Linked DNA regions of Xenopus tropicalis. The protein of the gene in region 1 interacts with the protein of each later gene in a pairwise test. Links are inferred from orthologs where the notes say so. Each region holds a gene or a part of one and is shown in the gene's direction. Other genes may lie near its edges.

Region 1 (4,355 bases):
ACATTGTCCCGCTTTGCCGGGTATATAAAGGCGCACTGGCAATCCGTTCGTCACTCTGCAACAGGGCACAGAAACGAGAGGTGAGTGCGGGAGGAGTGGAGCCTAGGTTGGGGGTGTGGCTCGGCAGGGTAGGCTTGGGTATAGCTCCTACTATATGCTCTCCTAGGGGGTTTCGTTTGCAGTTGCTAAAGGTACTAATGTCGGTGTCAACTGACAGTGATGGGAGTTGTAGTTCTGTGCTACTGGTACTTTTCCAATGTAGTGTGTTTGTGAGTAATGGGGTTACTGTATTAGTGGCTAAGGATGGGATGGTGTAAGGGCTGCCTGTGCTTAGATTGGGGAGGCTTTAGGGTGGGATGAGTAATGGGGTTCTGGTAGATATAGGGAAGTGGGAACCTTGGGTAATCAGGAGTCTGTGTATTAATGATTTGGGTTGGACACTGGGTGAAATGGGGCACTTCCTGCCCTCTAGTGGGTGGGTATGGGCTATATGGGTGCCTTTGGGTGGGATTTAGCTGCAGGGGGACCAATTCAAGGTGCAGTGGTGTGGGGGTTAATATTAAAGGTAGGTTGTTGGGGGCACAGAGGGGTGGGTGGATGTGCCCAATAGATGGGATGGAGAGTGACTTGGGCACGGGGTACCCTCCTCTTGTTCCCCCCCCCCCCACTAATTTCCTTTCTTGCCTTTAGGGGTTGATAACTAAACCAAGTGACACCAAAATGACTGTCAAGATTGGAATCAATGGGTAAGTTAAGGGGTTAATAACTTCATTGGGGGTGGGTGCTGGGGCTTAAGGGGGTAATATGCAGGTGAGTGGGGGGAGATGCTGGGGTATAAGGGGGTAATGGACCCAGACAAACAGCTGGGGGGGGGTTAATGGCTTGGCAGATTAAAGGCCGATGGGATAGTGTTCTCTGCACGGTTTAGCGATTGGCCAGTGTAAGATGCCCCTTGGCTCTGGCAGTTGAGGGGTTATAAGTAATGAAGCTACAGACCTTTCATAAATGGTTAATGGTCCAGGCCGATTATTCTTTCAAAATGGCTGCTGCTCCTTAACCCCTCCCCTGCCAGAACCATGCGGAGTGTGAAGCTTCCTCACGTCCCACTGAGTCACTGCTCCCCACCTCACACCCCAACCCCTCCTCTCCATCCGCTGCGGCTCCCCATTGCTCCACCTTCTGCCAGGAGGGGGGTACAGTAATGCGCATGGGGGTGTCCCCAGTGTCTGGCTGCTGATGTCTCTCAAGGACAACCCCAAGGTCACAGTGTATCCTGGGCCAGGGTCACCCTTGCACTGTCAGTGTCCTATTGATGAGCTGTACCTGGGGGGCTGATGCACGGCACCTTGGGTGAATCCCCTCCCCTCGCTGCTGCAGAATAAGGAGTAATTGCACAAGTGTGGGGAAGCTGAGTCACGTCCTGCTCCCTGGTGGCAGCCGCACGTAGGCACAGTCCCCTGGCTGTTTTATTCTGGTTAGTGACCATAATCCTCACAGCACAGAGTCTGACTGGGCTCTCGTGAACCTTCTAGAGACTTCTCTCATTAAAGTGGGACACTAAGATGCCCCCCCCTGGCATGGCTAAGTAGGGCTCCTATTAATAGAGGTGTTGATGCCAGCTGCTGTAACCCACGCCAGGGACATTATCATTCTGCCCTGCACGTCTCTGCCAGGACTCGGATCCAGTACTGCCCCACAATGGAGGCTGCTCCCGTCACTCTGGCCACTCATCTCTCAGCCTTACTACACACCCTCCTGTTTGTCCTCATTACGCGTCGCTGAACTTCACTGTTGAACTTCACCCCGAGCAAAGTTCAGCCCTGAATGTGCAGCCAGTCACTCGTATTGTGCCTCGAAGCATGCAGGGCAGTGTCAGGAGTCGCAACAGGCAGGCTGTGTGATTATTGCCTGTAATAACAGGGCAGTGGCAGGCAGACTGATTATTGCTTGTAATAACAGCCATTATTCAGGTTGTGCTGCGTGAGCAGTGCTTGGATAAACTGCCCCCCCCCCCCCAGGCTGGCTCAACTGAGTCTGGGTCAGTGGAGATTTCTGTGTCAGCAGGTGTTGTGCTAATGGCGGCACAGACCTTTTTTTTAAAGGGCAAGTAAACCAAAGTACATTAAGTTTGCATATTTCTTAGTGACAGATTGCCTAAATCATGTGCCCCCCCCTTGTGCCATTTAGAATAGTGGGATCCATTTGATCTAGGTCTCTGTATTCTCTATGTAACTGGCCCCTGTTTATTGCTATTCACTATAATGACAGCTATGTAGGGTGCCCTTCCCACCCTAACTGCTTAAAAAGAGGGGGTAGCAGTGCACCCCATTACTTCTATGCTGATCAACCAATTGCACCAGGCAACACTGCCCAGCAAGAGTCGGCAATTGCCAGTGCACTGTGGACAAACATTGGTTGGCTTGGGGGTTCCCCAAGCCAACCAATGAGGGGAACCAGCATGCCTTGATTCTATGGAGGGTTATGGGAATTGTAGTTTAACATATAGGGATCAAAGGACTAAGCTGTTGCATTGTGGTTTCAGTGCATTGGCTAAACTTCCCCTTTAACATCTAGCTGTGACGTCGCATCACTTATGATGCAAGGCTTTATCTTCTTACTGCTTGCCAGTGGCACAAGGGGTTAAGCGCATAAACATCTAACGATAGAAATCATTTTTTCTTTTTAAGATTTGGCCGCATCGGGCGCCTGGTGACCCGCGCTGCTGTTTTAAGCGGCAAATGTGAAGTCGTTGCAATCAATGACCCCTTCATTGACTTGGACTACATGGTAGGTGGCTCCGTTCATCTGCATTTTTGTGTTCTGGAGTATAAAATGCTCGGGAATTAACCCCTCCCACTCTCCGCAGGCTTACATGTTCAAATATGACTCCACCCACGGCCGATTCAAGGGAACAGTGTGTGTTGAGAATGGCAAGCTGGTTATCAATGGCAAGGCAGTCACCGTCTTCCAAGAGTAAGTGAGGTTGTGGCTCAGTCCTGGCCTGGTTCTAGACTGGGTTCCTGCAGCAGAATCTAATCACAGGGGGGATGTTTACAGTTCTCTCCTCTCCCCAGGCGTGACCCCTCCAACATTAAGTGGGGCGATGCTGGTGCAGTGTATGTGGTGGAATCTACTGGAGTCTTCACAACCAAAGAGAAGGCCGGTGTAAGTAGTTACACCCCCCCCCCCCATAACATTTGGCTTTCTATATCTAGAATTCACCCTGGACTTTTTTTTTTTTAATTTTTACCTGCAGTTGCACTTGAAGGGAGGTGCCAAGCGTGTCATTATCTCTGCCCCCTCAGCTGATGCCCCCATGTTTGTTGTTGGGGTGAACCATGACAAATATGATAACTCTCTTCACGTTGTCAGGTAAGTGTGGGGTAAAAATGGGCGTTCCTTTAAAGGGGGAGCGAACTACCACAATGCTACAGGCTGTCTGCAAGCTTCTGTATTACTGGGTTAACTCTTTAGTTCTCAATAGCTCATGGTTTGCAGCTTCTGTAATCTAATAAGGGCTTGTTTACTATAACAACCATGTAAAACTCTAAGCCTGAAGGCTGTAAATCCTTAAACCTTTTTTTATCAGGATATTTGTCTATACAAATACTGATCAGGCAGGGGCTCCCTCTACTGCCCATAATAAAATTGCAGCCTGTTCTAGGTTTGCTGCTTGGCCAAACCATTCTGTACTTGATGGAACCTCTCAGTAATTGGCTAGTGCTTAGGCCTCTGTAGGCAGGCATTGATGTAGGCTGCCCATTCTCTGCCACTTTCTTTAGCTCAGGAATGTTAATGCTGTAAGTCTCACAGGCAATTACTGTTCTACATAAGCTGGCTAGCTTCAACTGGCAAAGTGGCTCTGCCTTCCCAGCCCTGGGCCTGCCTTTACAGGGCCTTGCCCCAAATACAAGCAGTAATGTGTCCTCCCTATATGGGCTGGCCTCTTTACTCTGATGGAATAAGGGAGTGATGCTTAGTTTACCTTTTCCCCTGCTTTGCCCGCAGCAACGCATCCTGCACAACCAACTGCCTGGCTCCTCTTGCAAAGGTCATCAATGACAACTTTGGCATCCTGGAGGGACTGATGGTAAGTGCAGTGGGGCTTATTCAGCTTGGGACATAGAGCCTAAAGCAAACTGTCTCCCCCCTCACCCTGTATGAGTGACCTTAATGGAAATTATACCCCCCCCAAACAATGTAGGTCTCTCTAAAAATAGTGTGAACAAGCTTGTACATAAAAACCCTGCTTTGTGCAAGTTTTCATAACTTAACTTACTTTTTTGTAGTATGTGCTACTGGGTAATCCTAAACTAAAAACTGCCATTTTATGAATTAAGGGCCGCCCCCTGGGA
Region 2 (3,649 bases), on another chromosome or scaffold:
TTTAGTGCTCCAAAAGTTGAATTTGTTGCATACTATGACTGTACAAATATCAGTTTTGTAAAAACTCTTGAATATTTGTAGGAGAAAACATTTCTACCTATTTCATTTTTTGTTTTGTTTTTTTTTGTCTCCCCCCACGCAGCCTTTTTCTAGACCTCTACAATGTCTTCCGGAAATGCAAAAATTGGACATCCTGCACCAGACTTCACAGCGAAGGCTGTGATGCCAGATGGACAATTCAAAGACCTTAAAGTTTCAGATTACAAAGGTTTGACATTTTAGCTAATCTGTTGGGGTGTGTGGGGTGTGTAAATATTTTTTTTTTTTTTTTTAACGTATCAAAAATGGTTGGGGCCTGCTGTGTGAACAAAAGTACTGTATTGTCATAGAAGGTTGTCAGATGTTGCTTAAATTGACATTTCTAGGCAATTCATTTGGTAAGATTCTATTTTAGTTAGTTGTGAACAGAACAGATTTTATTTGTGTTGTAGAGATTCTTTGAGCTTTAAAAATTATCACTACGGGTGTTTTTGGAACTTTGCTTTCCTGATTTGGTAATAAAAATGAGAACTAAAGATGAAGATGGCTAGAACTGTGAAATTTTATATACTTAACTGACTGCACTAGACAAAAGTTTCAGCATCTCTATAGTAGTAATGATCCTGTATAGGTCTTTACAGTTCCCACAGGAGCTCCTCGTCTTGGATTCTGTTAGAACTGTCCCGGACATTGCACATGCTCAGTGTGCTCTGGGCAGCTGTTGAGAAGCTAAGCTTAGGGTTTGTTGCAAGTTATCAAGCAAAATGATGTTTGTTTGTCATATAAACTGATGCTGAAGATCTGATTATAAAATGTTGATGCTAATTGCACTGGATTCAGAGCTGCCATGTTATGCAAATCTAAATTAATTACTAATCAGCCATATACTGTTACAGTTATATTCTATATGTACAGTATATTGTCTGTCGGTTCCTAAGCTCAGTATCTTACAGCGACACAGAGCATGTGCAGTGAATCATCAGAAAAGAAGATGGGGAGCTACTGGGGCATCTTTAGAAACAGATCTTCCCTGATAAAGGGCCTTGGCTGCCTTGGGCTAGTACAGAAGTGCAAAACATAATGTACAATATTTCTAGCCTATATCTTTAGTTGAGCTTTAGTTCCCCTAAAACAAGTGGATAATATTTGTTAGTACATTTGTGCTTGACTGGTTCTTTGACCAGCCACAGGAAGGATATGATGAGACCCAGTTGTGATCAATTGCAGCACATCCTGCACAACTGCCCCTTCATACCCTGCTCATCATTTCATCTATTGTATTCTTTGCTGCTCTAATATCAAATTTTCTATAAACACCCCTTTGGGTTAAGCTGATTAGTCTGCTTCCCTTTTGGCTAAGGCCTTATGTCTGTAAATGTTAGACAAGACTTATGTCCATTGCAGGTTACTAGCATTCTATGAAAAGTGGTATACTTTTCTTTGTTCAGAGCAGTGTTAATATATAATTTTTAATCCTGGTACATCTTTCTTTCTGCACCCACAGGAAAGTATGTTGTATTCTTCTTTTACCCTCTGGATTTCACATTTGTGTGCCCCACTGAGATTATAGCTTTTAGTGACCGGGTTGAGGAATTTAAGAAACTTAACTGTGAAGTGATTGGCGCATCAGGGGACTCTCATTTCTGTCACTTAGCCTGGTATGTTTTCATCCATTGTTTCATAAATGAGTCATCTGATCTCTCCTGTAGCATTTTCATAATGATGTTTTTTAACAAGCTTAACATAGCTAATGTGTCCTTCACAGGATTAGCCAACCCCGCAAGGAAGGTGGTTTGGGCAAAATGAACATACCACTTGTCTCAGATGTTCAGCACACTATCGCTAAGGACTATGGTGTTTTTGAAGAGAAAGAGGGAGTTTCATTTAGGTAACATTAACTGCTAGTATTCTGCTCTCTGTCACTCAGTTAAAATATATTTATGTAAGTTTGTATGGTCTCCCATTTGGTTTTTAACTTTTTTTATTTAAACTATTCTATCCAGTAAGACTGGACTGGACTGCTGTTTGACCTTGCTCCATAAGTAATGTAGTAGATAATGGCACATGGGGCTAATTTAGCCACTTTGGGCACTCTGTTTTTTTTAGTAGGCCAAACCCAAAACACTAAAGTGCCTTAAACCATCCTCCCTAAAAACTTGAATGGAAATTGACCAGAAAAAACATATATAAGTGCTATCCAGACAACAGAAGTCTGGATATGTATCAGGTCTATGGGCTACTAAAATATAATGTTTAAAGTGCCCCTGTGTGCCATTACCCTAATAGATATGTAAATCTTTTATAAGTTTAAACTCTCACAATCAACTAATTCATAATATGAAAATGCCACCAGAGGCCCACAGTGGGGTCTCAGGGGCATCTGGTAGAGACATATTTTGGCAAACACTTTATTAAAACAAAGGCAAGCGTAACCCTTTCTTGGCACACTCACTTCTGTTGGGCTGTATACTTAAACAGGAAATTTGGTCCCCCTTGCAATAGTGAAAGGTACTGGGAACTGGGATTTTAGCGCAGTGCCTCCACCTAGTGGAGGCAGAACAAACAGCAGGAAGTAGACTTGCCAAGAATTTGCAAGGTTAATATGCAAGGCCTATATATATAGGCAGTCTTTGCTGGTAGGTCTCTGAAAATAAGTAGCTGGGTATAATTAGCAGAACCTGGGAGACAGACTGCAATAGGTAGGTTTCAGTATAGGGAAAGCCTAGAAAAAAGGCCATAATGTACCAGGTGACATGTTCACAAACACAATAATTCCTTACACAAACCTCTATTGACAGCCCAACTGTTGGTAAGGAGAGCAAATGGCCATTTTTCTCACTTCTCACCATAACTGGCCTTAAGGCTGAGCCCCACAGTTTGGAATACACAGCCCTAAAAGCTAAGTTAAATGGAGTTTTATGTACAATTAAAGTATAGTAAAGAAGTTACTGAAAAAATCAATATACATACCACAGTAGGTGCATAAAACCTTTGTAACTAATAGAAGAGTGCTGGTAGTTGTAGTTCTGTTAACACTATAGTGCAAAAGATAATTAAAAAGATGTTTATCACAGAAAATCGGTTAGGCCATACACTAGCAGATATAAGCTGCTGATTTGAGTCCTTTAGACTGATTCAGCAGCTTATCTGCCCATGTCTGGGGCTCCCCGATTGGACAGGTTTGATTTCCTTGTCGGATCTGAGACCGGATCGGCTCATTGATGCCGTCCTTGTCCAATGGCGCCTATGTCCGTCATTGTAATTCGATCCAATTGGCCTGATATCAACCACCATAGGTGAGAATATCGGGAGAAGATCCAGTCAAGATTGTGGTGCAAATGCAATAGAAGAAACAAAATAACTGTAATACTTGTATTCTTTTTTTTTTTATGACAGAGGTCTCTTTATTATCGATGAAAAAGGCATACTGCGACAGATAACAATTAATGACTTACCTGTTGGGCGCTCTGTTGATGAGACTCTAAGACTAGTACAGGCTTTCCAGTTCACAGACAAGTATGGAGAAGGTAGGTTCTTTGTCTGCCAGTCTATAACTATGAATAAATAACCTTTATGCCTCCCTGCTCTAGGCAAGCATAAAATCACTGAG
Region 3 (4,183 bases), on another chromosome or scaffold:
AATTTTCATACCATGGCAATTGGTCGTTTAGTTGGACAGGTTAGAAAATTTCTGTTGCATAACAACATTCTTTATATAGTCTTTTTTTATGTTTAGGAGTGGATAGGAATTAGGTGATCAACCCTATGCATGCAGCAGGACTTTTAACCTCATCAGTGCTTCTGCTTTAAAATGTTACCTTTACAAAGCCTTGCAATTAAATGCAATAACAGTTATACTAGAAAAGAAAAAACACTTAATTCTGTTTTGAGCCCTTTTTAGCATGTTTCTAAAGTCCGATTATAGATCTGCTCTGAAAAAGCTGAGCATTTCTTTAATATGTTGTTGTTTCAAATTCATTATATTCATTATACACTGGGTCCCACAAGAAAATGTTTTTTTAGGCATTAAAACTTTGAGGAAGATGTCAGTTTCTCACAGATAGAAATTATGCATTATCCAGAACCCTTGCCTGGCCTGTACATTTCTTGATTCCCAAGCAACCACTGGGTTATTGTTGTTATACCTCCGGGTCCTTGTGTCTTTGCCTGTTGCTACTAAGCAGCTTTCACTTACGTTTATATATACAACAATAAATAGAGTATATTGTCAGTCCATGAGCTGAGGTGACAGTAAAGCAGAGCATATTAGAACAATGCCCATTTGATCTTACCTGTTACTTCACTGCTTATCAGAAATTAATTTTATATATTTGTGTTAAAGTTACAGAAGTTAATCTTCTGCCTTAGCTATTGTGGTTCCAGATGATCAATAACGTAATTTATTTCCATTACATACAGCATAGGTCATTTCTCACTAGCCATTGCTTATACAACACACATCAAGGAAAAGAAACAAAGGCATTGGCATAACCAGAATTTACTGGGACCCACATCCCTTTAGAGTCCCCTTTGATGGGAATAAATGTTTCACACACATTCGCAACCAACCTCTGTATACTACACTGTTTTTACTATTACACACATGCGTAACTCCGTTTACGGAAGTGTTTTGGGCGGATCGCTATCACTGGAACGCATGGTGCGTGTCAAATCGAAAAAGGGGAAACAATTACCGCCTTTTTGCTATTGCTGCCCAGGCGAATGCCTGGTAATTAATACTATATTTATATTTGTCCAGTATGCTCCAGTTATTACAAAAAATATATTTCTTTAAAATTTCATAACCTGTTCCAAATCAAGGACAAAGGTGAGTTTTAGAGGCTCGTAAAAATGCTATGCTTATTCCGGCGCGACTTCTTTGCCCTTCGATACGGTTGTCAAGGAAGGGGGAGGCGGCTGCGAGGCTGGAAAGAAGGAAGTCGCTTTAAAGCAAAATCATGGCGGAGGTAAGATTTATTGTTTAGCTCTTATCGCTATGTATGCGCAATTGTAGGTGATATTTCCACAGAATATAGTTACATGCAAAGCGTAGGATACGAAAAGGGGCTGGAATTTTGCGTTATCCATTTCTTTTATGTCAAGAGAACCTCTCTGTATTATGAGGCCATAGAAACATTTAATCATATTGACCAAACATTGGCTGTCGCTTCTTGCATGGCCGTATATCAGCTGCTGTGAATGCAAATTCCAATTGCTTGTAAGGTTCCCCATTTATATTCCCCATTAATGACCATGTTATGTCAGGATTTCCTCAGACAAATTACTGCATCTTGAGCCATATTACATTTGGTTTTCTATATTTGTTTTTCAGCTGATCTGTCTAGGATTTATTTCCTCATTATTACTCCTTTTAGATGTGCTGTTAGTTATTGTATCTCACACATTGACACCTTTTATGTTGTACTTTATTATTTAAAGGGGACATAAACTGTCAGGAACAAGTATTTGCCACTACATTATACAGCCATTAAAATAATACACTGTTAAGTTGCCCGTTTCTCATTTATCCGTGACTGATTTTCAGGCAGAGATTGTGGAGGGTTGCCGATTGCCTGTACTTCGCAAGAATCAAGATAATGAAGTTGAATGGCGTAAGTACTACATAGCTTGAAACGCACTGTAATAAATATTGCAGAAATATAGCTTGTACAGGTATAGGACCCATTATCCAGAATGCTCGGGACCAAGGGTATTTCGGATAAGGGGTTTTTCCATAATTTGGTTCTTCATACCGTAAGAAAAAAATCACAAAAACATTCATTAAACCCAATAGGACTGTTTTGCCGCCAATAAGGATTAATTATATCTTAGTACAGATCAAATATAAGGTACTGTTTTATTATTACAGAGAAATAGGAAATCAATTTTAAAATTCTACATTATTTGATTAAAACAGAATCTATGGGAGATGGGCTTTCCGTAATTCGGAGCTTTCTGGATAACTGGTTTCCGGAAAATGGATCCCATACCTGTACTTGTTTATGTTTACAAGAGTGTAGAATTCTGTGTGTTTTTTATTTATATGGTGAATTTTCATTCAGATGGTTTGTGAAGAAGCAAAGAAATAAAATGTAATTCATAATAAAATATACCGTTTTTGTAACCACTTCTTTTGTCTCTGTTTAATCCTCTCTAGCACTTGCTGAAATTCTGAGCATCAAGGAACTTACAGGGAAGAAACTATTCTATGTGCATTATATAGACTGTAAGTTTATATTTAAATATGGAGTTTAATGTTTCACTTAGTATTACATATATCCTGCATATTACATATAGTAATATGCAGGATACATGGCTTAAATAATGATATGTACTGAAACTAGGCTTGAGCTGCTTAAAGGGGAGCAATCATGAAAAATGTTTTTAGAATATTGAAAATATAAAATCTAGACAAACATTTTGACAATGTATAGCATTTAGAAATGTTGCACTGTTACAAAGTTATGGCTAATTATTGAAGCAGCCTCCCATTCGCCACCCTCCAGAATCTCTGTGTGAGTGACAGAGCATAGTGAAAGCTGATTTGCTGTGGCATGTCATGAGGCTCAACAGCAAACATGTGCAAAGGGGAAGTAAAGGAATTGAGCCGGGCTGGGCTAGGGGCTGATGAAGCTGCATTTGTACATATAACAGCAAAGCAGCTTATTGTTTATATCCTTTATATCCTCATATACACAGCACTTCTGACTCTTTTGCATTCAAGATTGTGCTGCTCACCAGCAGGCTTAGATCAGCTGCCAGTTGCCCTCTTGCAATTTACACATGCAGAAACAAATTTTTATTCAATACAGGTGTGACAGTTGTGACAAAAGAGTGTATAAAAGACACTCCCTCCATACCAGTGACATACCTATTGCAGCAATATTTCAGACCTCTGCACAGGCAACTGTGTATGTACAGGCACACAGATTCCTGTATGTTGGATTCACAGACACCTATGTCGTCAGAGCCCTTCTGTAGACTTTCTTTCAGGCTTCTTGATTGGCCAGCCAAATCAGGCCCACTTTGTCAGTCTGTAGCATTTACTCTGCTATAGCTAGTCCATGTCTTTTTTTAGAAAATGCCATATATTCTGTTATCAATTAGCTTGCATATTATAATGTAGGGATGCACCGAATCCAGGATTTGGTTCGGGATTCAGCCTTTTTCGGCAAGATTCAGATTTGGCGAATCCACAGTCCTGGTGGAACCAAATCTGAATCCTAAAATTCATGTGACTTTTTGTCACGTAAACACAGAAGTTAAAATTTTTTAACCTCTTCTAATTCTTATTGCTAGCATTTTTTTCTCTTGTAAAATTATTTCAGTCTCTTTTTTTTACTTTTTTACTCTATTAATCCCCCCAGTTAACAAGCGATTAGATGAGTGGGTTACTCATGATCGTTTGGATCTTAAGAAGATTCAATTTCCAAAGAAAGAGGCAAAAACTCCAACAAAGAATGGACTACCTGGATCAAGACCAAGCTCCCCTGAGAGAGAGGTGGTAAGTGCTTGGGCACTCAAAGAAACTGGTCATGTCAATCTGTCTTGCAGGGATGATGTTGACCATAACAGTTATCCCTGCACCTTACTACTAAAATAAGTGCAACAGAAAGTAGCAGGTAGTATTGCTTTAGCAGAACTAATGCCACTCTGCTCCTTTGGGCTTTGGGAGATATCAGTTTCTTCCTGTGCCCTCTTTAAAACAAAGATACCTGCATGTTCCTCCCTCTTCTCCAAGTCATCCAGTTGGGTGCTATTTTATCTAACATACTAAATAATTTCAGTGTTTATGATAGGATGTAGCATTGCTGTTCAACTTT

What was found.
Region 2: the proteins of gapdh (region 1) and prdx1 interact in a two-hybrid assay, tested with the Homo sapiens proteins (2 studies listed by BioGRID and IntAct, with this or other methods). The link is inferred for Xenopus tropicalis from reciprocal best matches to the Homo sapiens genes GAPDH and PRDX1.
Region 3: the proteins of gapdh (region 1) and kat5 interact in binary tests that used the Homo sapiens proteins (3 or more experiments, as listed by UniProt). The link is inferred for Xenopus tropicalis from reciprocal best matches to the Homo sapiens genes GAPDH and KAT5.

Annotation. Positions count from the first base shown.
Region 1 is NC_030683.2:10,006,014-10,010,368, forward strand, and holds the start of gapdh (glyceraldehyde-3-phosphate dehydrogenase), read left to right. Parts: upstream 1-1,501; 5' UTR 1,502-1,549; intron 1,550-2,687; coding exon of another isoform or gene 2,688-2,784; coding exon 2,785-2,787; intron 2,788-2,866; coding exon 2,867-2,973; intron 2,974-3,074; coding exon 3,075-3,165; intron 3,166-3,256; coding exon 3,257-3,372; intron 3,373-4,008; coding exon 4,009-4,090; intron 4,091-4,355. UniProt on the Homo sapiens protein: Has both glyceraldehyde-3-phosphate dehydrogenase and nitrosylase activities, thereby playing a role in glycolysis and nuclear functions, respectively.
Region 2 is NC_030680.2:90,381,716-90,385,364, forward strand, and holds part of prdx1 (peroxiredoxin-1), read left to right. Parts: intron 1-142; 5' UTR 143-162; coding exon 163-268; intron 269-1,543; coding exon 1,544-1,697; intron 1,698-1,804; coding exon 1,805-1,927; intron 1,928-3,435; coding exon 3,436-3,566; intron 3,567-3,649. UniProt on the Homo sapiens protein: Thiol-specific peroxidase that catalyzes the reduction of hydrogen peroxide and organic hydroperoxides to water and alcohols, respectively.
Region 3 is NC_030680.2:37,908,645-37,912,827, forward strand, and holds the start of kat5 (histone acetyltransferase KAT5), read left to right. Parts: upstream 1-1,310; 5' UTR 1,311-1,318; coding exon 1,319-1,327; intron 1,328-1,905; coding exon 1,906-1,972; intron 1,973-2,517; coding exon 2,518-2,586; intron 2,587-3,727; coding exon 3,728-3,864; intron 3,865-4,183. UniProt on the Homo sapiens protein: Catalytic subunit of the NuA4 histone acetyltransferase complex, a multiprotein complex involved in transcriptional activation of select genes principally by acetylation of nucleosomal histones H2A and H4.